Linked DNA regions of Oryctolagus cuniculus. The protein of the gene in region 1 purifies or fractionates together with the protein of each later gene. This does not show direct contact. Links are inferred from orthologs where the notes say so. Each region holds a gene or a part of one and is shown in the gene's direction. Other genes may lie near its edges.

Region 1 (6,238 bases):
AATAATTTTTTATGTTCTGAAATAATCTTTTTCTCATTTGATCCTATTGCTTTTTTTAAGTGATTACATAACAGTTCAAATAGAGCATTAGATTATCACTCTTAAGATAGTGCTTTATAAATTTATATTATAGAAAGATTAATTTCATAGTAAATTGTTCCTATGTGATTTCTACATAGTGAACATGTGATTTTTTATTGCTATTTAGCAAGTCTTACCTAATGATCTGGAAATAGTTATTTGGGGTCTTCTAAAGCAACTTCGAATTTTCTCTCATTTAGTTTTATTGCTAACATCCTTATATAATTGCTCAAACAGAAGCGCAGTAAAATTGTAACGCTTAAGGTTCTGTTTATTTACAAGTTAATTTCCTGGGGCTGACTTTGTGGTGCAGGGAGTAAAGCTGCTGCATCCTGTATAAGTGCTGGCTTAATTTCCCAGATGCCCCACTTCCAAACCAGCTCCCTGCTAATACATCTAGGAAAGCAGTATGTTTGGGCCCCTGCCAAATACTGGAGTTCCTGGCTTCTTGCTTCAGCCTGGCCCAGACCTCCTGGCTGTTGTAGCCATTTGAGGAGTAAACCAGTGAGTGGATGGAGGATCAGTCGATTTCTTTTTCTCTCTCCATTGCTCTGTATAAATACTTCTTTAAAAATATATTGATTTGGGGCCAGCAATGTGGCGTAGCGGGGAAAGCTGCCACCTGCAGTGCCGGCATCCCATATGGGTGCCAGTTCAAATCCCGGTTGCTCCACTTCCAATCCGGTTCTCTGCTTTGGCCTGGGAAAGCAGTAGAAGATGGCCCAAGTGCTTGGGCCTTGCAACCTGAGTGGGAGCCTGGAAGAAGCCCCTGGCTCCTGGCTTTAGATCAGCCCAGTTCCAACCATTATGGCCATTTGGGGAGTGAACCAGCGGATGGAAGACGTTTCTCTCTGTCTCTCCTTCTCTCTGTAACTCTACCTCTTGAATAAATATTTTTAAAAAGGTTTTATACCTAAAATAAATAGTCCTTGCCCCATAAAAAAGGTATTTTTGCCTTATTTTATATTTTTAAAGTAAATTTTTAAATGGAAACATTGATGTGATTTTACTCATCAAACAGGCATGCAAGGTTTATTAACCCAGTCCCTTATTATTGGCTTTTTTGGTTGGTTTTTGTGATGAACGCTCTTATCAGGGTTTATGATCCTTTCCTTTTGGACTTAAGATTAATTTATTGATTGATGTGAAAGGTAAGAGCTCCTCCACCTGCTGATCCATTCCCCCAAAATGCCCACAACAGACAAGACTGTTCCAGGTCAAAGCCAGGACCCCCAAACTCCATCTGTGTCTCCCATGTGGGTGGCAGGGATCCAAACCCTTGGGCCATCATCTGCCTTCCTTAGGTGCATTAGCAGGGAGCTGGTTAGGAAACACAGTATGGAGGACTCAACACTCCAATATGGAATACAAGCAAGATCCTTTTCCTTCATAGATCCTGTTTTTGTCTACTTGTGAGACAGAGAGTTCCCTCACATATGCTGATTCATTCCCCCAGATGCCTGCAATTCCTCCATCCCACCCCAGGCTTGAACTGCAACTTTGGGCCAGGAAACCAATCCCGGTCTCCCACGCAGGTGGATAGAATCGGTTCAAATGAGCCAGTCCCCCTGCCTCCCAGGGTCTCCTTTAGCAGGAAGATGTAGTCTGGAACAGAGGCCAGTACTGAAACCAGGCACTCTGAGGCGAGACGTGGGGGTCTTGTCCGCAAGACCAAGCTAACCAACCTGCCCAATAGGCCTTATTTTTAAGGTTCTAGATACTTCTCTCAGGTCACTCGAGAATTTCCTTCTCCCCTGCCTGAAAGGGGTTAGGGGCCAGAGGAAGAGGGTACCAGGATGCATGCCCTACCCCCGGAAAAGGAGGAGCTGCGCGGGCCACGGAGCAGGGGGGGGGGGGACTGGGGGTGCAGCTGGGCTGGAAGGCCCAGGGGCGTATTCTGCAGGGCCTCCGCCCACGGACCCCTCAGATACCCGGGTTGATAGAAAAAAGTCTGAGCGGGAGGCGGCGCTGTGGAGAGGCCCGGGTAAAGCCCCGACTGCAGTACTGGCATCCCATATGGGCGCTGGTTCAAGTCCCAGCTGCTCCACTTCTGATCTAGCTCTGTTACGGCCTGGGAAAGCAGAAGATGGCCCAAAAGTTTGGGGCCCTGCACCTGTGAGTGAGACCTGGAAGAAGTTCCTGGCTCCTGGCTTCAGATCAGCACAGCTCCATTTGTTGCGGCCAATTGGAGAGTGAGCCAGCGGATGGAAGACCTCTCTCTCCCTCTCTCTCTGCCTCTCCATCTCTCTGTGTGTAACTCAAATAAATAAATCTTGAAAAGAAAAGAAAAGAAAAGAAAGAAAGAAAGAAAAGAAAAGAGAAAAGAAAAGAAAAGGAAAGAAAAGAAAAGAAAAGAAAAGAAAAGAAAAGAAAAGAAAAGAAAAGAAAAGAAAAGAAAAGAAAAGAAAAGAAAAGAAAAGAAAAGAAAAGAAAGAGAAAACAGGCTGAGATGGTCAAGAAAGCAGCAACGGCGCAGGGGCCCCTTTGCGCCCAAGGCCACGCCCCCACGGGCACGCCCCCGCGCCGCGACCTTTGCCCAGCTCTCACCACGCCCCTTCCGCCTTACTTCCGCACCGAAGGCTCGGCATTTCCGGGAGCGCCGCGTGGGTCAGCCTGCGCACCTCCGGCATGGCGGACTTCTCCAGACCCGCGGCCCCCATTCTGTCTCTCAACCCGGAGAAAGACGCACAGTTTCGAAAGGAGGTGGAGCAAGTCCGCAAGCGCGTCACCCAGGTGAGCGACCTCTGCCTCCTCTGGGAGAGGAGGGATCCGAGGCGGAAAGTTCGGTGCTGTAGGCGTGGGTTCCAGGTCTTCACGTGGCGACGCGCGAGGAGGCGGAGACCGAGCCAGGGAACAGCGCTACCGGGCCGCTTAGGGACCCAGTTAGCGCCATTGCTTCCGATTTGCTGGTGCTGATGGGGGGCCCCAGGGATTTGGGGGTTCTTGGGAGACATTGCTCACCAGCTAGGTCCCCTGACGTTGAATTTGTGTTTTCTTGGGTCTTCAGCATTAAATCCAATGTGGGAAACTTAAAAGTGTTGCTTAGGGAAGGTACGGGGGCGATGACGCTGAGGGTCGGTGGGCGTCTCAAGAACTGTCGGATTAGACGCAGGTAGCCGGCGATCTGCCTGCAAGTTGAAGGGTGCCGGTGTGCAAAGTTCTCGTGTCCTTGCTTATCTACGCTGGCCCACGTGGGCTGCTTGGCCGCTGTCCTTGTGGGGAGAAGCCTACGATTAAGCGGAAACAGTATGCTCTTGGACCCAGCGCTAGGGGTTTTGCAAGTTTTGTTGCCATGCAATTGTCTTATTAAAGAGGATTTATCGGGTTTGTATGTCTTCAGAAAAAAAAGCAAGAAACCCTTACTCCTGGAGTAATCTATGTGGGCCACCTACCTCCAACACTCTATGAAACCCAGATTCAAGAGTATTTCTCCCAGTTTGGCACTGTTACAAGATTCCGACTGTCCAGAAGCAAAAGGGTAAGTCAGAATCCCCTGTTGTGTCTTCCGAACGCGTCATCCTTGACAGTTTTATGCAAAGTGCTCGCATTCTGCTCCTTAGACTTCCCTCTGGAAAGGGGGCTGGCTGAGGTTTTGAAACAAACAGCCTCTAGAGCAAAATTAGAATTTTAAATGTTTGTGTACCAGAAGTACTTGCCCCAAGTTCACAAGTTAAATTGGCAGTCCTGGCAAATGAATCATGTTCATTTACCAGGGGTAAATGAACTTCAGTTTGAGAACCAGATTCACACTTGTTTTAGCCTCTGTTAGAGACATCAGTAATAGCCAAGATTTATAGTGAAGGCAAAGGACTCTGGAGCTAGCATACTCATGCTGCAGTTTTGTAATCTGCAAAATGTGGGTAAAGTAGCATCAGCTTCCTATGAGTGTTCAGTTAGAGATTAAGCTGCTTCCTTAGGCATTTTGGAGTCTCCTAGAAGAAATTTTACTGACTACCCAGCTGTCTACCTCTCAGCTGTATCAAGTGCCAGCTTGATGATATTCTTGTTTCAGATCTTTCTTGTCTTGACCATAAGGAGAGTTTAGGCTCCTTGAAGACCTTTTTTGTTTTTCTTTTTTCTTTTTCTATTTTTAGTTGACTTTATACACATATGATTAACATAGAGTTCAACAAGTAATATGAAGAAGAGGGGGAAAAAATGTCCCATGAAGTATCACAGATCAGGGAGAACATATGGTAGTTGTCCCTTTGGGACTGGCTTATTGCACTAATTTACAAATGACCAGATTTTTTTTCTTTTTTTCATACGGACCACTGTGTAGTATTACATAGAGTACATATCCATAATTTCTTTATCCAGTCTTCAGTTGATGGGCATTGGGGTTGATTCCATGCCTTAGCTATTGTGAATTGAGCTGCAGTAAACATGGTGGTACAAATAACTCTTATTTGCTCATTTCATTTCCCTTGGGTAAATTCCCAGGAGTGGGATGGCTGGGTCATGTGGTACATCTATATTCAGATTTCTGAGGTGTTTCCAAATTGTTGTCCATAGTGGTTTTACTAGTTTACATTCCTACCAACAGTGGACTAGGACACCTTTTTTCCTATATACTCACCAGCACTTGTTGTTTGTTGATTTCTGTGTGAAAGGCATTCTAATTGGGGTGAGGTGAATCTTCATTGTGGTTTTGATTTGCATTTCCCTGACAGCTAATGATCCTGAACATTTTTTCTTGTGTCTGTTGGCCATTTGGATTTCCTCTTTTGAAAAATGTCTTTTGCCCATTTCTTAACTGGGTTGGTTGGTTTGTTGTGGTGGAGTTTTTTGATCTCTTTGTAGATTGTGGTTATTAATCCTTTTTATCAGTTGCATAGTTTGCAAATAATTTCTCCCATTCTTTCGGTTGCCTCTTCACTTCCCTGAGTGTTTCTTTGGCAATACAGAAGCTTCTCAATTTGATGTAATTTCATTTGTGAATTTTGGCTTTGATTGCCTGTGCCTCAGGGTGTCTTTTCCATGAACTCTTTGCCTGTGCCAGTGTCTTGCAGGGTTTCCCCAGTGTTCTTTAATTTGATGGTATCAGGTTGTAGATTTAGATCTTTAATCCATATTGAATGGTTTTTTGTGTAAGGTGTGAAGTAGGGGTTTTGCTTCATCCTTCTGCATGTCGAAATCCAGTTTTCCCATCACCATTTGTTGAAGAGACTGTCCTTGCTCCAGAGATTGCTTTTAGCTCCTTGGTCAAATATAAGCTGGTTGTAGATGCTTGGATTGATTTTGGTGTTTCTGTTCTGTTCATTTGTCTATCCCTTTGTTTTTGTACCAGTACCAAGCTGTTTTGATTGTAACTGCCTTGTAGTATGTCTTGAAATCTGGTATTGTGATGCCTCTGCCTTTGTTTTTGTTGTATAAGATTGCTTTAGCTATTAAAGGTCTCCTGTATTTCCAAATTAATTTCAGCATCATTTTTTCTAGGTCTGAGAAAAATGTCTTTGGTATTTTGATTGGTATCACGTTGAATCTGTAAATTGCTTTTGGAAGAATGGACATTTTGATGATATTGATTCTTCTAATACATAAACATGGAATATTTCTTCATTTTTTTGTATCTTTTTTTTTTTTTTTTTTTTTTTTTTTTTTTGACAGGCAGAGTGGACAGTGAGAGAGAGAGACAGAGAGAAAGGTCTTCCTTTTGCCGTTGGTTCACCCTCCAATGGCCGCCGCGGCCGGCGCGCTGCGGCCGGCGCACCGCGCTGATCCGATGGCAGGAGCCAGGAGCCAGGTGCTTTTTCCTGGTCTCCCATGGGGTGCAGGGCCCAAGCACCTGGGCCATCCTCCACTGCACTCCCTGGCCACAGCAGAGGGCTGGCCTGGAAGAGGGGCAACCGGGACAGAATCCGGCGCCCCGACCGGGACTAGAACCCGGTGTGCCGGCGCCGCTAGGCAGAGGATTAGCCTAGTGAGCCGCGGCGCCGGCCATTTTTTTGTATCTTTAACGTATTGTAATTCTCATTGTAGAGATCTTTGACATCCTTGCTTACATTTATTCCAAGGTATTTGATTTTTTTGGTAGCTATTGTGAATGAGGTTGATCTTAGAAGTTCTTTCTCATCCATGGCATTGTCTGTATATACAAAAACTGCTGATTTTTGTGTATTGATGTTATATCCTGCTACTTTACCAAACTCTTCTG
Region 2 (5,779 bases), on another chromosome or scaffold:
CCACGGTGGAGACCCTGACGGAGACCAAGATCCACTGCGAGACCGAGGAGAAAGACTTGTACCTCTACTACTTCCTGATGCAGTACCCGGGCCGCAGCTTGGTGTTTGCCAACAGCATCTCCTGCATCAAACGGCTCTCCGGGCTCCTCAAGGTCCTGGACATCATGCCTCTGACGCTGCACGCCTGCATGCACCAGAAGCAGCGGCTCCGAAACCTGGAGCAGTTCGCCCGAATGGAAGAGTGAGTGAAGCCGCCCTCGGCCTGGCCTGCAGCGCCGTGCGGGAGTGGCGGGAGGTCACCGCTGCTGCTGGGCCTTGTGAGAGCAGGCGGTCACCGCTGCTGTAGGGCCTTGTGAGAGCAGGCGGTCACCTCTGCTGCTGTAGGGCCTTGTGAGAGCAGGCGGTCACCTCTGCTGTAGGGCCTTGTGAGAGCAGGCGGCCCCCTTCTGCATGGCGTTCGGCAGGGTCACCGCGTTTAGCAGATTTGGATGCTGCTGATGTCCTCTGACGCTTTCGTAGCACTGAGTAACGGGGACAGTACCTAGTGTTGTTGACACTTCGTCCATTATGACCTAGGCCGGCACTTCAGAAACACCACGTCCCTCCACTCCCCCATCATCCAGGATAGATTTGTAGATAAGGGCACAAACTCTCGAACTGGGCTTCATGAGATCGAATCCTGACCCCACTGCTTCCTTGCTGGTCAAGTTGTTTGACTTCTGTGTGCTTGAGTTTGCTCATAGTGGGATAATAATATATAGACGTCATAGTGTTAGGGTTAACGGATGCGTGGATGTGAAGAGTTGGCGGCAGCTCTGTAAGGCACACAGTGTGTGCTTGTGAGATGTTAGCTCTAGTAACTCCCGCCCTCCTACTGCCACTATCACTATTCCCAAAAGCTCACCAGCTTGGCCAGGGTTTCTCTACCTCGAAGTGGCAGGTCTGAGCCTCTGGGAGGGCTGTCCAGCGCAGGGCCTGTGTTGTCTGTGTCCGTCCAGACCAGGTGATGCTCAGCAGGTAGGCTGCAGATGGCCAGGATGAAGGCCTGGGGGCTGAGGCATTTCCCCCACCTGAGTGCTTGTCAGGGCAGAGGGTGTTTTGTTTCTAGAACTAGTGTCACGTTTACCTGGCTTTGATTATTACGTGTGGTGGTTATGGGGATTGGCTTAGCGCAGGGCTTGACACACTAAAGCCCATGGCCAAGTCTTGCTTTCTCCCTGCTTTTATAATAAAGTTTTATTGGAATATGGCAAGACCCATAAATGTATCATCTAACCACTGTTCCACTGAAATGGCAGAGTTGAGTGGTTTCCACAGCAACTGTATTGCCCACAAAGCTGGAACTATTAACTATCTGACCCTTTACAGAAAAATTTGCTGACCTTGACTTAGAATAATAGTTAAATGTCTTATAGAGTTTGACTTGCACCACATTCCCCATCCCTATGTCAGAAATAAGGGCGAGGAGGACCCTGAAGGACCAAGAATCGGGAAGTCTTAAGGCGTGCTGTAAGTGCTTCTGAGTCTGCTTGGACTGAGTGTTAAGGAGCGTCACGTACCTTTATCTGGTGCTTATCATGAGCTAGAGAGTGGTCTAGGTGTTGCTAACCTAAAGTGAGTAATGCAAAGTGCTTGTTCTCACAGAACTTAGTTTCTAGAGGAAGAAGAAATGTATCACAAAGTCTATAATATAGCAAGTGGCGTTGAGCGCTACCAAGTAAGCTGGGGCTTGTGATGGGGCGAGTGTGGCTGGCGAGGTGTCTGACGGGGAGATTTGAGCAGAGAGCTGAAGAAAGCAGGGAGAGGTGTCACGTGGAAATATGAGAGAAGAGCTTCAAGACCCAAGGATGAGCAAGTACAAAGGCTGGGGGGAGGGGTGGAGAGGAAGCCCAGGAGGTCCTCTGCCGCTGACCAGGGCTGACCAGGGCAGGAAGGGGAGGGTGCCCGGGTGGAGGTCACCTGCCCAGATCGTGTTTGGCCTCATTCAGTTCACCACAGGGGGTCCCTGTCATTGCAAAGTTGGTTGGATCCTTGATTACACAACCCAGCAGCCATGTAAGTACCTTGGGAAGTTGCTCTCGGAGGCTCAGTCTCTATCAATGAAGGGCAGATGATAGTGTTGTTGGTAAGACAGAGAGTGCTGGTGAGGATCGTGGCGTTTATAGTGCTCGCAGAGGTAAGAGTTCGGTTGTGATAGCTGTTAGAGTTATTAACGAGCTTTCTCTCTTCACCACAGCTGTGTTCTCTTGGCAACAGACGTGGCAGCTCGGGGTCTGGACATTCCTAAAGTGCAGCATGTCATCCACTACCAGGTAGGGGCGTCTGGGAATTCGTCAGCATCTTCCTGCTTCGGGATTCTAAAGCGAGGAGGAGGAAGAATTGTTGGGCCCAAGGCCCCTGCAGTTATCGTAGTACCTGCTTAGGATTCTTACCAGGATAAAAGAAGGTAACACATGCAGAGTTTAGGGACCACTGGCATGTAGTGAGCACTGGCTAAGTGTGCTGTGGATAGCAGTGAGAGGAGCCGTCTGCCTGACAAATACCAGCACAGCGTTGCGGCTGGCAGTGTCGGGTCCAGGCCTGGCCGCCCGGGTCGGACTCCCCGGTCTGCGGCTTCACAGCGGCATGCTCTTTGATTGGCACACGCGCGCGCACGCACACACACCGTTTTTAGTTGTCAGTTTTCGTTGTCACTTCAGTTGTCGTCATTGTTTCTAAACTGGAAGTGACACACTGCTTACCCAGCCAGGTTGTCATGAGAATTAAACTGAGCTGATGCTGAAGTGCCTGCCCCAGTGGAAGTACTCAGTAGGTCTTTGAGGGTGCCGATTTCAGTGTAGCAAATCTTTACTATTTTTTAGAGAAGGGGCTGGGTCAGCCTTTGTGGGAGAAATCAAGGTGAACCATATACAGGCCCAGCTCCTGAAAGTCCCAAGTCCCAGGGAGGTGGGGAGAGGACACAGCCGTTATGTAGGGGAGAAGCTGTTAGAAAGTTAAAGGATGCGGTGGGACAGAGAGAACTCCTGGTTTGGGAGGTTGGAACCTGCTTTCTAGAAGGTGCTTGGCATTTAAGGATGGAGAGGAGTTGGACACGAGGTGGGAAGGGAAGGAGGGAAGAGTCTAGGATGGGCAGTGTTCAGGGGCAGATGGCTTAGGGCGAGAAGAGGGTTGTACTGGGAGAGGAGTAGCTACAGAGGCCGGGGGGTAGGCTGGGGGCCGGGTCCCTGAGGCCGAGTGTCGGATTCAGGAGCTGCGCCTTTATCCTGTATGTGAGGCGTGGCAAACAGGTCTCAGTCCCGTGTGACCCTCGTACATTGGAGGGCAGCAGGGGTCGCTCAGGGCTCTGCACGGTCCCTGCAGCGGGACTGGTTTTTTTTGTTTGTTTCTTGGCACCACCACTTCATTGGGTAACCTGGGGGGAGTTGTTAACCTCTCTGTTTTAGTTTCCTAGTCTATAAAACGTGGGTAATCTTATGAAGAATCAATTTCGTGTTTCTGTTGTGAGGAATAGGTGCATCCGTACCTGCAGAGAGCTTAGAGCTGTGTGGCCCGAGGTGGTCACTCCGTAGATGCTGGTGTGATTAGCGCTGCCTGTCACTCAGAGTGAATGGAGAGCCGGTGGGATTGGTTTACTAGGGGGAGTGTCGTGCTCGAAGCCGAGACCCAGATAACACCGGCGGCTTTGGGCGGGGCAGGACAAGTGGGAAGGATAGAGACGGAGGAAGTGACTGCGGGGTCCACTGCGTGGGCACGGGGACCTGAATGGCTGAGCCGGGGACAGTCGGAGTGTAGGGCTAAAGGGGGAAGGCTGGACATGCAGAATCAGCGGCGGTTCCCACCTGCCTGGCCTGGGGGGCAGAGGGGCCGGTTGGGGATGCGACCCTGAGGCCAGGGCCAGTGTGCCGCGGGCAGGGCTGACCTCCCGGGTCCTCCGCTGGCAGGTCCCTCGCACCTCGGAGATCTATGTCCACCGCAGTGGGCGGACCGCTCGTGCCACCAGTGAGGGCCTCAGCCTGCTGCTGATAGGACCCGAAGATGTGATCAACTTTAAGAAGATTTACAAAACCCTCAAGAAAGACGAAGACATCCCGCTGTTCCCTGTGCAGACCAAGTACATGGATGCCGTCAAGGTAAGGAGAAGTGGACCCCAGGGCTGCGCGGAACCTGGTGCTCACGGGCCCATGTTGGGACACTGCAGTACAACAGCACCACCCCGGAACCAAGGGTGGCTCTGCCAGCAGCTCCGCGGGGCATTCATGGAAGGGACCGGACATGCTGAGCCCTGGAGGAGGGACCAGAGCGGAGGCGTTTCCTCCCCGGACTGTCTCCTCACTGCCTGACCCTGACGTGTCCACCCCACCCCCACTGGACTGTGCGGTGTGCACAGCTGCCTGGGCCTCTCGTCAGGGCCGTGGGCAGTGAGGTGTCTGTGTCTCACTGAGATCCGGGCTGATGGGTTGGCACATCCCTGAAGCAGGTGCCGGCAAATCCTGACTTGCAGCCATTCTCTGAGTGAATGCCGCCTCCGTGGACCACAGTATGTCCGGGCCCACAGCAGGGCAGGCCAGGCTCTCCCCAGCAGGTCCGTGTCTGGGCCCACAGCAGGGCAGTCCAGGCTTTCCCCAGCAGGTCCGTGTCCGGGCCCACAGCAGGGCAGGCCAGGCTCTCCCCAGCAGGTCCGTGTCCGGGCCCACAGCAGGGCAGGCCAGGCTTTCCCCAGCAGGTCCGTGTCCGGGCCCACAGCAGGGCAGGCCAGGCTCTCCCCAGCAGGTCCGTGTCTGGGCCCACAGCAGGGCAGGCCAGGCTCTCCCCAGCAGGTCCGTGTCCGGGCCCACAGCAGGGCAGGCCAGGCTCTCCCCAGCAGGTCCGTGTCCAGGCCCACAGCAGGGCAGGCTAGGCTCTCCCCAGCAGGTCCGTGTCCAGGAGCGGGCCAGACTGTACTGAGGTTCAGGTACAGAGGGAGCTGTGGGATGGAAGACCTGTGGGAATACCGTGAGGCTCTGAAGCTGCAGCTGAACTGGAGGGGCATAAAGGATCTGATTCCTGGAACTGGGGGAGGAGGAGCCTGGGACACTTGAGGCTGTTAACTCCTTTGGTTTGAAAGGAGTGTCGGCTGTGCCCGCGGGGCTGGTGGGGTGTCGGCTGTGCCCGCGGGGCTGGTCAGTGTCGGCCGTGCCCGCGGGGCTGGCGGAGTTGCAGATGGAAAGGTGGAGGTCAGAGAGTTTCTGTGAGGAGCTAACCTGGCTTCCCGTGGTTCTTTTTCCTGTGTCATAAGATCTTGTCTGTTTCTTTGGGGCATCCTGTTGCCGTGGTCTAAACTCCAAATCCCACCAGCGGGGGAGTTGAAGTGTTCAGTCTGTCTCTGAGGTGGCAGCCAGCTGCAGCCTCTGTGGACACTGTCGCTGGAGTCAGACCAGGTGGCCGTGTTGAAGGGAGCGCCGGCTCTTGGGAGTGTGCTTGTGCCCACACGTGTGTGGTGACCGCAGGAGCCAAGATCAATGCGTTTCGGTAGTTGCCGCGCGCGTCCCGGGGACTGTCGACCTCAGGAGCTTCAGCAGCAGCTCGGGGAGACTGCTTACAGAGGCCGACCGCTGTGAGGTGAGGACTCCGTCTCTCCCCAGGAGCGGATCCGTCTAGCTCGCCAGATTGAGAAAGCTGAGTATCGGAACTTCCAGGCTTGTCTGCACAACTCCTGGATCGAGCAGGCGGCAGCCGCCCTGGAGATCGAGCTGGAAGAAGACATGTATAAGGGTGAGCCTTGGGCTGGGGGCACTTGAAG
Region 3 (5,536 bases), on another chromosome or scaffold:
GGTCCTGCCCAGCTTCCCCCAAGCCCCCGCCCGGCCCCGCCCATGGGCAGTCGTCCACGGGCCGCCAGGCGGGGTCGCCGTCGGCAAAGCCGGTCCGGCCTGAGCGGGCCTCTGGGCAGCCGGGGGCTCGGGCCGCGTACCCGCAGGGCAGAGGGAGGCGTTCGAGAACCTGCGGCCGGGCCGGGTCAGAACCAGCGGCGGCTCCGGGCCGCGGGGAGAAAGCTCCTGGCGTGGGGCTGAGCGTGGGCGAGAGGCGGCCAGGAGCAAGGGCGCATTGAGCTGTCCCAGGCTACCCCTCCCATCTCAGAGCTGTCCCAGGCTATCCCTCCGCTCTCGGGCCCACCAGACGCCCTGAAGTGCACGTCGGTTCCCGTAGGTGCGGACCAGGGCGCGCAGCTCGAGCCCGGGCAGGTGGCCGAGTGGGCGCTGTCCACCGCCGCGGTGCTGGTCACGGCGGCCGGCGCCCAGGTTTCGGCTGAGAGCGGAGCGGGGCGTGGGCGCCGGGCCCGGCTGTGGGCGCAGACGGCCCAGGACCCCGCTCCCGCGGGAGAGGTGCCGGCGGAGCACGGATCCCCGGGGGGCAAGGCGCCAGCGTGGAAAGACCGGAGCCGGGAGGAGTCACTGAGTCGCTGGGGGGTGGGGGGGGAGTTGGGAGCCGGGGAGGGGGAGGGCGGCTGGGAGCTCGCTGGGCACTGAGGGCCGCGGTAGCGGGGCAGGGGCGGCCGTCCCGGGAGTAACCGGACAGGCGCTCAGGGAGGGAGGCTGGACCAGCTGGCTCCCATTCCGGCAGGGGCACGCGGGCGGCGGCTCCCCTGGAGGCGGCCGGACAGCGGCAGGTGCACACCCTGCAGCCCAGGGCCTGGGAACCCCATCCGGGTCACCTCCCCAGGGGGGCAGGGACCCCGGCCCTGGCTGTTGTGAGCACCTGGGGAGTGAACCAGCAATTGCCCCTCGCGCGGCCCTTCCCCGTCTCGCCGCCCCCTCCCTCCGCCCCTCCCCCAGGCCCCTCTCGCACCCTCTAGGGATGTGCAACCCAGGCCCCCGTGCCGGCCCTGCCCGGGGGAAACGGGCTCTGCTGCCACCTGGCGGCCGCTCGCGGTAACGCTCCGGGGGCGTGGCTCTCCGCCGACACCCGCCCGCCAATTCCCGCACAACAGGATTGCGGGGCTCCGGGAAGCCTGGAGCCAGCACTGGGGGGTCAGCTGCCACGGGGGAGACCCGGATGGAGCTCCTGGCTCCTGGCTTTGGCCTGGCCCAGGCCTGGCTGCTGTGAGCTCTTGGGGCGTGACCAGCAGGTGGAATCTCTCTCTCTCTAACTCTGCCTTTAAGTAAGTAAATAAATAAATTTTTTAGAAACCGTGGATTGCATTATTTAAAGGCGGGCCTTCTATGACGTGGAAATCAATTCTCAAGCTGCTCGGCGTTTGAGGATTTTTTAAAATTTATTTGGAAGGCGAGAGGCCGAGCAGCCGGTGCGTGGGGCGACGCGGGCGGATCCGGGACTCCAGGCCTGGGGGAGGGCTGGAGGCAGGCCGACACGGCTGCTCCCGGGCTGTGCACGGGTGGGCGGGAGGTCCTGGTCTGCGGGGGCGGCGTCTCTCCGCCCCCACCTCCGCTCCACGGGGGCCCTGGGCGAGGAGAAGCCGGGCGCCCCGTGGGGGCGGGGGGCGGCTCCCCTGCGGCCATGCCCTGTGGTCACGGTTAGGACCCCCCCCCCAACGCCATGGCCTGCGGTCAGGGTGAGGACCCCCGTGCGCGGGGAAAGGGTGCATGTGGCCGTCCGCTGAGGTCCCGGGGGCACAGCCCGGAGGTGGGGGCCTCCTGGGAGAGGTGGCGCCCCCCCCCTAAGCCGGGCCGCCGCCACCGCCCTGATGCACCTCACGGCCGGGGGACGGCGACCGCCCCCAGATTCGCCCCGGCAGATCTGAGCAGGCCCCCAGCTCCCGCGAGCAGACAGCCTCTCCCTGGGACAACCCTCCCCACCCCGTGGATACCCCTGCCCGCCGAGGCAGGGGCAAGGAAACCGGGGCAGCTGCTTCCACTCAGAATAAGCGTGGCTTGCTTGGTTAATAAAAACTTAACCCCTGGAAAAACATTTATGTGGAAGACAGAGACTGCTCCAGCTGCTCATTCACTCCCTACCAAAGCCGTCCGCTGCCTACAACTCCCGGCGTGCTCGGAAATCGGAAGCTCCGTTACGTCCGCGCCGGAATACGTGCGCATTGCCGCGCTACCTCCTGGGAAGTGTAGTCCGGCTGCGAAGAGAGGCGGGGTAGTGGGTGGCAGGCGGAACTGGAGCCAATGACAAAACAAGGCTCCGTGAGCGCCAGGACAAGGAACCAATGGGCGCGTCGCGGCGAGGCGGCGGGACTTCCGCCGGCGAACCCGTGGAGAGCGGCTGCGCGAAGGAAAGGACTTCCTTTTCGAGGGTGGCGGCCATCGCGGACGGAGCGCCATGAAGGCTTCGGGCACAGTAAGGCGGCCGCGGCGCGGCGTCGGGGCGGGGGGCGCGGCGCGGGCCCTGGTGGGGGGCGCGGGGAGCGGACGGGGCCCCGCAGCTGGAGCGCGCCGCCGCCCGGGACCCCGATGGCCGCGCTCGGGAGCGGCCAACATGGCGGCGGGCGCCGCGTGGGGAGCGGGTGCGGGCCGGGCGGGGCGCCGCGCGGGGTTGCGACCTCCTGCCCGGGACTGGGGGCTGGGGTGGTCGCGGGTGCCGCGTGGGGAGCGGGCCCGGGCGGGGCGCCGCGCCGCGCGATGTGGCGACCTCCTGCCCGGGGCTGGGGGCGGGCCGGGGATTGACGCGGGGGTCGCCGGCCCCGGCTGACGCGCGCGTCCCCGCAGCTGCGGGAGTACAAGGTGGTGGGCCGCTGCCTGCCCACGCCCAAGAGCCCCGCGCCGCCGCTCTACCGCATGCGCATCTTCGCGCCCAACCATGTGGTGGCCAAGTCGCGCTTCTGGTACTTCGTGTCGCAGCTGAAGAAGATGAAGAAGTCGTCGGGCGAGATCGTGTACTGCGGGCAGGTGCGCCGGGGGCCGGGCGGCGTGGCCGGGGGGCGGCGGGGGTGGGGACGGGCCGGGGCGGCGCGGGGGGCTCCGGGGGCGGCCGGGGCGGAGCGGGGGGTCCGGGGCGGGGCGGCGGGGGGCGGCCCGGACCCTCACCCGCCCGGCCGGCCGCAGGTGTTCGAGAAGTCGCCGCTGCGCGTGAAGAACTTCGGCATCTGGCTGCGCTACGACTCCCGCAGCGGCACGCACAACATGTACCGCGAGTACCGCGACCTCACCACGGCCGGCGCCGTCACGCAGTGCTGTAAGCGGGGACGGGGGGCGCGCGCGGGGAGGGGGGCGCGCGCGGGGAGGGGGGCGCGCACCCGAACCCCAGAGCCGCCGCGCGCCGTGGCCGCGGCTCCAAGCGGGGTGCGCACAGCAGCGGGGCCTCGTCGCCTCCGGGGGGCTGCGGGTGCCCCCGGGAGTGAATGCGGAGGCCGCACACGCGCGGCGGGGCGGGCGGGGGTGGTCCCTGCGGTGCCGGCCGCCCCGCCCTCACCGCCCCACCCGCCCCGCAGACCGCGACATGGGCGCCCGGCACCGCGCGCGCGCGCACTCGATCCAGGTGATGAAGGTGGAGGAGATGGCGGCGGCGCGCTGCCGGCGGCCGGCCGTGAAGCAGTTCCACGACTCGCGCATCCGCTTCCCGCTCCCGCACCGCGTGCTGCGGCGCCAGCACAAGCCGCGCTTCTCCGCCAAGAGGCCCAACACCTTCTTCTAGGCCCGCGCCCCAATAAACGCCCGCAACCTGGCCCGCCTCCGCCTCCGTGTGCGCCTGCGCCGTGCGGGGCTGGGGGGAGTCCAGGCGCCGAGCCGGGCGGGTCGGGGACATCGCGGGTGCCGCCCCCTGGGGCCTGAGGGGCTCGGACCGCGGGGGGCTGATGAGCCAGGAGCTCCATCCGGGTCTCCATGGGACCTGCGCCGTCATCCACTCGCCCAGGCCTCAGCCTGGCTCTTGGGACGCAACTTGGGGCCCCCGCAGTGTCCTGGGGAGGAGGTGGGCACCGAAGCCCGAGAGGCGCTGGGGGCACCAGACTCCGGGCAGCGCCTGCGCACCCGCCCTGAGCGCGGGGCGACCCAGTCCGAGGGTAGCTGGGGGTCCTCCCCCCTCACGTCCCGTGGAGTCGGGGTCTCGCTCTGCCCCGGCGGTGGGCCCGATGGCCTGCGCTCCTGCAGCCCCCGTGGGCCGTGAACACAACAGGAAGTCGGTGACCGCTCACCCTCTGGGCCTCAGGGGTGGCTCCGTGCCAAGCGGAGCTAGGGCGTCCGGGTGCGGTCCCTGCGCTCGGGGGGCGGGGCGGGGGTTTTCCCGGGAGCTGCGGGGCACAGGACGCAAACCAGAGTTTCCACCCCAGAGTTGGCACAGGGCTGGGGCCGGGGTCCCACGCGCCGCTGCCTCCGGCTGGGGGTGTCCTCTGGCCCCTTGAAGGGTGGGGGGGGGCCTGCGCTGGGCTTGCTTGACCCCCAAGATCGCGCTCAGCGGGATGGCTGCTCCGCAGGGGCAGCACCAGGACCGGGCACAGGGACCCCAGATGACCCCAGGTCCTGACGGCAGGGTGGCCGCTCTGGCTGCGGCCGCTGAGTGAGGCGCGCAGGGTCGGCCGCGGGCCAGGTCCCGGTGTGGGCACCGCCCGAGCCACGTGCGCCCCAGCAGGTGCGGGGGAGGGGGGCCACCCGCTGTCCGCCCGGAGTTCACGGCCCAGCGCCGCCCACCCAGCGGGGCTCCTGGAATCCGGGACAGGTTCCAAGTCCCCACTGGTGCACTTGTCCCCACCTGCAGCCTCCCCGGCTTGGGGCGCCGCCAATTCTCAGAAAACTCTGCGGGGGCCTCCCTGCCCCGGCCTCTCCTGCGCCCCCGCGCCGCCCCCCACTACTCAGCGCTCGCTCCGCCGCACCCCGGGCGCCCGCGGTGGCCCCAGCCCCCCTGCTTGCGGTCGAGCCAGGCCCCCTGCAGCCTGCTGTGTCCACAAGGGCATGCAGTAGGCGCTCTATAAGTGAGCCTCCGTCGAAGCCTGGGTTTTCCCACGGCGGGGGGGGGGGGGGGGGGGACGCGGCCACTCGGCTCGGCGGTGCGGGCCTCCCAAGAGAGCGGCGACGGCGCCCGAGGCGGCCCAGAGGTCTCGGGTCTCGGCTTGCACCCCGAGAATTCCTAGGGTGGGCGGAGCCGGGCCTGTGGACGCGCGGTCCCCCCTTGAAGTTGGGGCGCCGTCCGTCCTTAAGCTCCACCCGAGCGCAGGGGATGTCGCCTGCCCAGACCTCGGTGGGGCTGCCAGGGGCGCGGGAAGCCCCTCCCCGGGTGGTCGCGGGGGACCCGGTGGCCGCTGACACTGGATGAGCGCCTGCCCCGCCCCCACCGGTGCCCCCTGGCTTGGCTCTGAGGCAGGCGCCTTCTGATGCCCATGTGCAGGTGGGCAGGAGAAGGCCTAGGGGGACCCCAAGACGACCGCAGGCACCCACGCGACCCCGAGCCCAGGCTCCCCCACCCAGCTTA
Region 4 (5,026 bases), on another chromosome or scaffold:
ACCCTGATGGCTCTGCGCCTGGCGTGTGATTTTCTGGCCCGCGGTGGCTACTTCATCACGAAGGTCTTCCGGTCCCGTGACTATCAGCCGCTGCTGTGGATCTTCCAGCAGCTGTTCCGCCGTGTCCAGGCTACCAAGCCCCAAGCCTCTCGCCATGAATCTGCAGAGATCTTTGTTGTATGCCAAGGTGGCCTTCACGTCCTTCTTTTGTTGACTTAGCCTCGTAATTACTGAAGCACAGGTGTTTTGAAGTGTTTATTTTTATCTGCAGAGCTGCAAAGATAGATTTTCCTTTCTCTGAATCACTTCCCAAATGCACACAACAGCCAGGGCTGGGGCCAGGCCGAAGCTAGGAACCCAGGACTTTACCTGGGGGTGGCAGGGGCCCAGGCACTTGATGCCACTTCGGCCTCCCAGGATGCATTAGCGGGAAGCTGGATTGGAAGTGAAATAGCCAGGACTCAAACTGGCACCCTGATGTGGGATGCAAGTGTCCCAAGTGGCAGCTTAACTTCGTGTACCACGAAGCCTGCCCCTAAACACACTTGTGTCTCATCACTGTAGGATTCCTGGCTCCTGACAAGGTTGACAGTAAATTCTTCGATCCTAAATTTGCCTTCAAGGAGGTTGAAGTTCAGGCTAAAACTGTTACTGAGTTGGTGACTAAGAAGAAGCCGAAGGTGCGTTTGGGGGGTAGGGTCCTGGAGCCCTGGAGAGACTGGGCCTGGCGGGCCTGGAGATGCCTTGCAAGGGACTGCCAGCCATTCTGTTGCCCTCCCTAAGGCTGAAGGCTACGCAGAGGGCGACCTCACTCTCTATCACCGTGCCTCCGTCACTGACTTCCTCCGGGCTGCCAACCCTGTCGACTTCCTCTCCAAAGCCAGTGAGGTGAGTTCCCAGACTTTGAGGGACGAAAGAGAACCCCAGAAACACGGCCTGAAGATCTTCCAACTCCTTTACTTCCCTCAAACAGATCTCGCTAGATGATGAAGAGTTGGCACAGCATCCGGCGACCACCGAGGACGTACGGGCATGCTGTCAGGACATCAAGGTGCTGGGGCGCAAGGAACTCAGGTATGCGGTCGCGAGGCCAGAGGGGCCAGGAACCCTGGAGGGAGGAAAAGGCCCAGGGAAGCCATGATGTTGGACCTCTGCACACAGGCTGTGCTGTGCTAGAGGTGTGAGGTGGGGGCCTCTGGCAGGAGAGCGCAAGTACAAAGGGAGAGCTGAGATCAGTCATGGTATTTCTGTGGCAGGTCCCTCCTGAACTGGAGAACAAAGCTTCGGCGACACGTAGCCAAGAAGCTGAAAGAGCAAGCAAAGGCACTGGACATCAGGTGAGGACGGAGCTGAACCAAGTAGATGTCGACTCGACGAAGCCCCTGCCTAGGAAAATGACGTGATTCCTTGGACTGTTTTGTCAGCCTCAGCTCAGGAGAGGAAGAAGGTGAGGAGGAGGAGGAGGAGTCAGCAGCTGGGATCACAAGGCAGCCCTCTAAAGAGGAGGAGGAAGAGGAGCAATTAAACCGGACTCTGGCAGAGATGAAAGCCCAGGAGGTGGCAGAATTAAAGAGGTGATTAAAGTGGTAGAGCCGTGGGTTAGGATATCATCCCACACTGAAGTGCACGGGTTTCACGCCTGGCTTGGCTCCAGCTTCCTGCTAATGAATACCCAGTGATGGTCAAGGTCTCCCATGTGGGAGACCTGGGTGGAGTCTTGGCTGTTATGGGCATCTGCGGAGTTGAACCAGTGGATTGGGAGGTCTAAGAAAAATCTAAGAAATGGTGTGGGGAGGGGCCGGGGGAGCCCCATTGCAGAATTGCAGAGTGTGAAGGTGGGAGGAGGACAGACATGGAAAGGGAGTTTTCAGCGCTGGGCAGGTGTAACCCCTTAACCTATCCCTTCAGAAAGAAAAAGAAGCTGCTGCGTGAGCAGAGAAAGCAGCGGGAGCGCGTGGAGCTGAAGATGGATCTGCCTGGGGTCTCCATTGCAGATGAGGGGGAGACTGGCATGTTCTCACTGCGTACCATCCGGGGCCACCAGGTGAGCAGGGGCTCGGGACAGACTGAGGAGACTGAAGGTGGAGGGACCGATGTCTTCTGTGCTGAGTGATGCTGGGCTTCAGGTGCCTACTTCACCCACTAAATCACTTGGTGAGGGGCTTACTGGGGTACAAAACAGTAACTCAAAGGCCAAAGCAAACATACACCTAAAATGATGAAATCCGGGTTTATGAGTGTGATGCGGATTGATTCTCCTGGAGCTGGAATATTAGGACCAACAGTTGTGGTTATAATACAGGGAACCAGGGCACCTGGGTTATAAGCACAAGTAGAGAGGATTTCTAAGACCAAGTTAGCCTTGCATTGGGCTGCCGCATGCTACTCTGTTCCTCCTAGAGAACATCTTTTCTCATAAAATGAGTCATGAAAAAGAGAGCTTTTCTGGCTCTTATGTGGGAATGTCTTAACCAAGTCACCTTTCCCCTAGAGGCCCTAGAGAGACGCAGGCTAGGTTCTTGCAGGCTCGCTTCTCGTCCCAGCTCCATTAGGCAGTAGTCAGGCATACAGCCCCTATCTTTGTCAGTACCTACAGTGGCCATACAAATGAAAGCTATCTTTGCCATGAGGAAAATACATTTTGAGGTTATTCTAAGTTGATTTTTTTTAAAAGATTTATTTATTTGAAAGAATTACACAGAGTAGGAGAGGCAGAGAGAGGTCTTCCATCCGCTGGCTGGTTCACTCCCCAGTTGGCTGCAGCAGCTGGAGCTGAGCCGATCCAAAGCCAGGAGCTTCTTCCCCGTCTTCCAAGCACCTGGGCCATGTTCTACTGCTTTCCCAGGCCATAGCAGAGAGCTGCATCAGAAGTGCAGCAGTCTGGACTCAAACTGGCGCCCATATGGGATGCCGGCATTGCAGGTGGTGACTTTACCCACTACATCACAGCACTGGCTCCTCTAAGTTGATCTACGTGAAACATTTCTGTTAGATCTATGTTACCTACCCACCTTTATTTGGTAGAGAATCAAGACGCATATATGAGATTTTTCCCAGGAGGTGACAGAGGTGCCTTCTGAGAGGAATTTTAAAGGAAAGCTGGGGAGTAGACATTTAACCTGGAGACTAAGGCATCCAGCCCCACATCGGAGTGCCTGGACCTGACTCTGGCTCTGGTTTCTGTCTCCAATCTCCTGCCAATACAGACCCTGGGAGGCGTGGTGATGACTCAGGTAATTGGGTTCTTGTCATCATATGGGAGAACTGAGTTGAATTCCCTGCTTTGACCCTGGTGCAGCTCACTGTAAGCATTTGGGGAGTGAACCAGTGGATGAGAGTTCTCTCTGCCTCTCAAGTGAAATAAATAATTTTTTTAGAGATTATTTTATTTTTTTGAGAGGTAGTGTTCCAGACAGAGAAGAGGGAGAGGGAAAGGTCTTGCATCCTCTGGGCCACTCCACAAATGGCTGCAACGGCTGAAGCTGAGCCGATCCAAAGCCAGGAGCCAGGAGCTTCTTCCAAGTCTCCCACGTGGGTGCAGGCACCCAAGCACTTCGACCATCTTCCACTGCTCTCCCAGGCCATAGCAGGGAGCTGGAACAGAAGAGGAGCCAGCTGCAGGTGGAGGATTATTTTAAATAATCTTTAAAAACAAAGGAACACCAGGCTGGCGCTGCGGCTCAATAGGCTATTCCTCTGCCTTGCGGCGCCGGCACACTGGGTTCTAGTCCCGGTCGGGGCGCTGGATTCTGTCCCGGTTGCCCCTCTTCCAGGCCAGCTCTCTGCTATGGCCCGGGAAGGCAGTGGAGGATGGCCCAAGTGCTTGGGCCCTGCACCCGCATGGGAGACCAGAAGCACCTGGCTCCTGCCATCGGATCAGTGTGGTGCACCGGCCGCAGCGGCCATTGGAGGGTGAACCAACAGTAAAGGAAGACCTTTGTGTCTCTTTCTCTCTCACTGTCCACTCTGCCTGTCAAAAAAAAAAAAAAAAAAAAAAAAGGAACACCAATGTTTTAGAACATTTTAAGATTTGCTGCTATGTGGGCCATGGTGTGGGCCATGGGGGTACTTTCCCAGTAACACTTCCTTGTGCTACCACTGACGATAAGACAACTGAATGAGACAGGTTAGTACCTTGGAATGGATCTGCCACGGTGTTGATTACAACTAAGACATGAGCATGAGAAAGAAGCACCCTGTTCCTTTAAAACACTTGACCTCTTCGTTGAATTTCAGTTGTTAGAGGAAGTAACACAAGGGGATATGAGCACTGCAGACACATTTCTGTCCGATCTGCCACGGGATGACATCTATGTGTCGGAAGAGGAGGAGGAGGAGGAGGATGCGTCTCTGGACAGTGACCTGGATCCAGAGGAGCTGGCAGGAGTCAGGGGACCTCCGGGTCTGAAGGAACAGAAGCGGTAAGAGTGTGAGAGCCACCCTCACCCAGAGTCCGGGTGCAGGCAGGGTGGGGCCTGCCAGCACTCAGGATCCCTGAGTCTCCCTTTGGGTCTACAGTGTGCAGTTTGCTGAAGTAGAAGATGATAAAGAAGAGGAAGGGGAGAATCCACTGCTGGTGTCACTGGAAGAAAAGACAGTACTGCAGGAAGAACAGGCTAACCTGTGGTTCTCAAAGGTGAGGTGCTGAGGCCAAGACTCATAGGAAGTTGGGATTCCCGGGAGAGATGGCTAAGTGTCCCCTACCGCAGGACGGCTTCAGTGGGATCGAGGACGATGCAGATGAGGCCCTGGAGATCGGGCAGGCTCAGCTGTTAAACGAGAGCCGTCGGAAGGCGCAGCAGCAGCCAGCGCCGCCACCAGCACCTTCCAGTCTGAAGAGTCAGAGACAGTCTCGGTGCCGGGAAGAGGCCTCTGAAGTGAGGACGGCTCCTCTGGAGACAGACGCTGCCCCTGGCCCTGGTGGGGGAGATGACAGCTCAGACAGTGACAGCAGTAGCAGTGAGGATGAAGGGAGGTAAGTGGTGCAGCTGGATGGGGAAGAGGCAGCAGTGGTTTGGACACTCCG

What was found.
Region 2: the proteins of NIFK (region 1) and DDX24 purify together in Homo sapiens (affinity purification with mass spectrometry; 3 studies listed by BioGRID and IntAct, counting the BioPlex papers as one, with this or other methods). This does not show direct contact. The link is inferred for Oryctolagus cuniculus from reciprocal best matches to the Homo sapiens genes NIFK and DDX24.
Region 3: the proteins of NIFK (region 1) and RPL18A fractionate together in Homo sapiens (co-fractionation; 3 studies listed by BioGRID and IntAct, with this or other methods). This does not show direct contact. The link is inferred for Oryctolagus cuniculus from reciprocal best matches to the Homo sapiens genes NIFK and RPL18A.
Region 4: the proteins of NIFK (region 1) and FTSJ3 fractionate together in Homo sapiens (co-fractionation; 3 studies listed by BioGRID, with this or other methods). This does not show direct contact. The link is inferred for Oryctolagus cuniculus from reciprocal best matches to the Homo sapiens genes NIFK and FTSJ3.

The regions. Positions count from the first base shown.
Region 1 is NC_091434.1:128,334,295-128,340,532, forward strand, and holds the start of NIFK (MKI67 FHA domain-interacting nucleolar phosphoprotein), read left to right. Parts: upstream 1-2,593; 5' UTR 2,594-2,709; coding exon 2,710-2,814; intron 2,815-3,421; coding exon 3,422-3,559; intron 3,560-6,238.
Region 2 is NC_091451.1:38,920,429-38,926,207, reverse strand, and holds part of DDX24 (ATP-dependent RNA helicase DDX24), read left to right. Parts: coding exon 1-241; intron 242-2,236; coding exon 2,237-2,312; intron 2,313-3,941; coding exon 3,942-4,130; intron 4,131-5,621; coding exon 5,622-5,751; intron 5,752-5,779. UniProt on the Homo sapiens protein: ATP-dependent RNA helicase that plays a role in various aspects of RNA metabolism including pre-mRNA splicing and is thereby involved in different biological processes such as cell cycle regulation or innate immunity.
Region 3 is NC_091447.1:65,464,172-65,469,707, forward strand, and holds RPL18A (large ribosomal subunit protein eL20), read left to right. Parts: upstream 1-2,253; 5' UTR 2,254-2,455; coding exon 2,456-2,473; intron 2,474-2,841; coding exon 2,842-3,021; intron 3,022-3,177; coding exon 3,178-3,307; intron 3,308-3,361; exon of another isoform or gene 3,362-3,492; intron 3,493-3,563; coding exon 3,564-3,766; 3' UTR 3,767-3,796; downstream 3,797-5,536.
Region 4 is NC_091448.1:14,893,204-14,898,229, forward strand, and holds part of FTSJ3 (pre-rRNA 2'-O-ribose RNA methyltransferase FTSJ3), read left to right. Parts: coding exon 1-187; intron 188-564; coding exon 565-680; intron 681-783; coding exon 784-888; intron 889-973; coding exon 974-1,074; intron 1,075-1,256; coding exon 1,257-1,337; intron 1,338-1,424; coding exon 1,425-1,574; intron 1,575-1,908; coding exon 1,909-2,044; intron 2,045-4,236; coding exon 4,237-4,421; intron 4,422-4,518; coding exon 4,519-4,636; intron 4,637-4,709; coding exon 4,710-4,975; intron 4,976-5,026.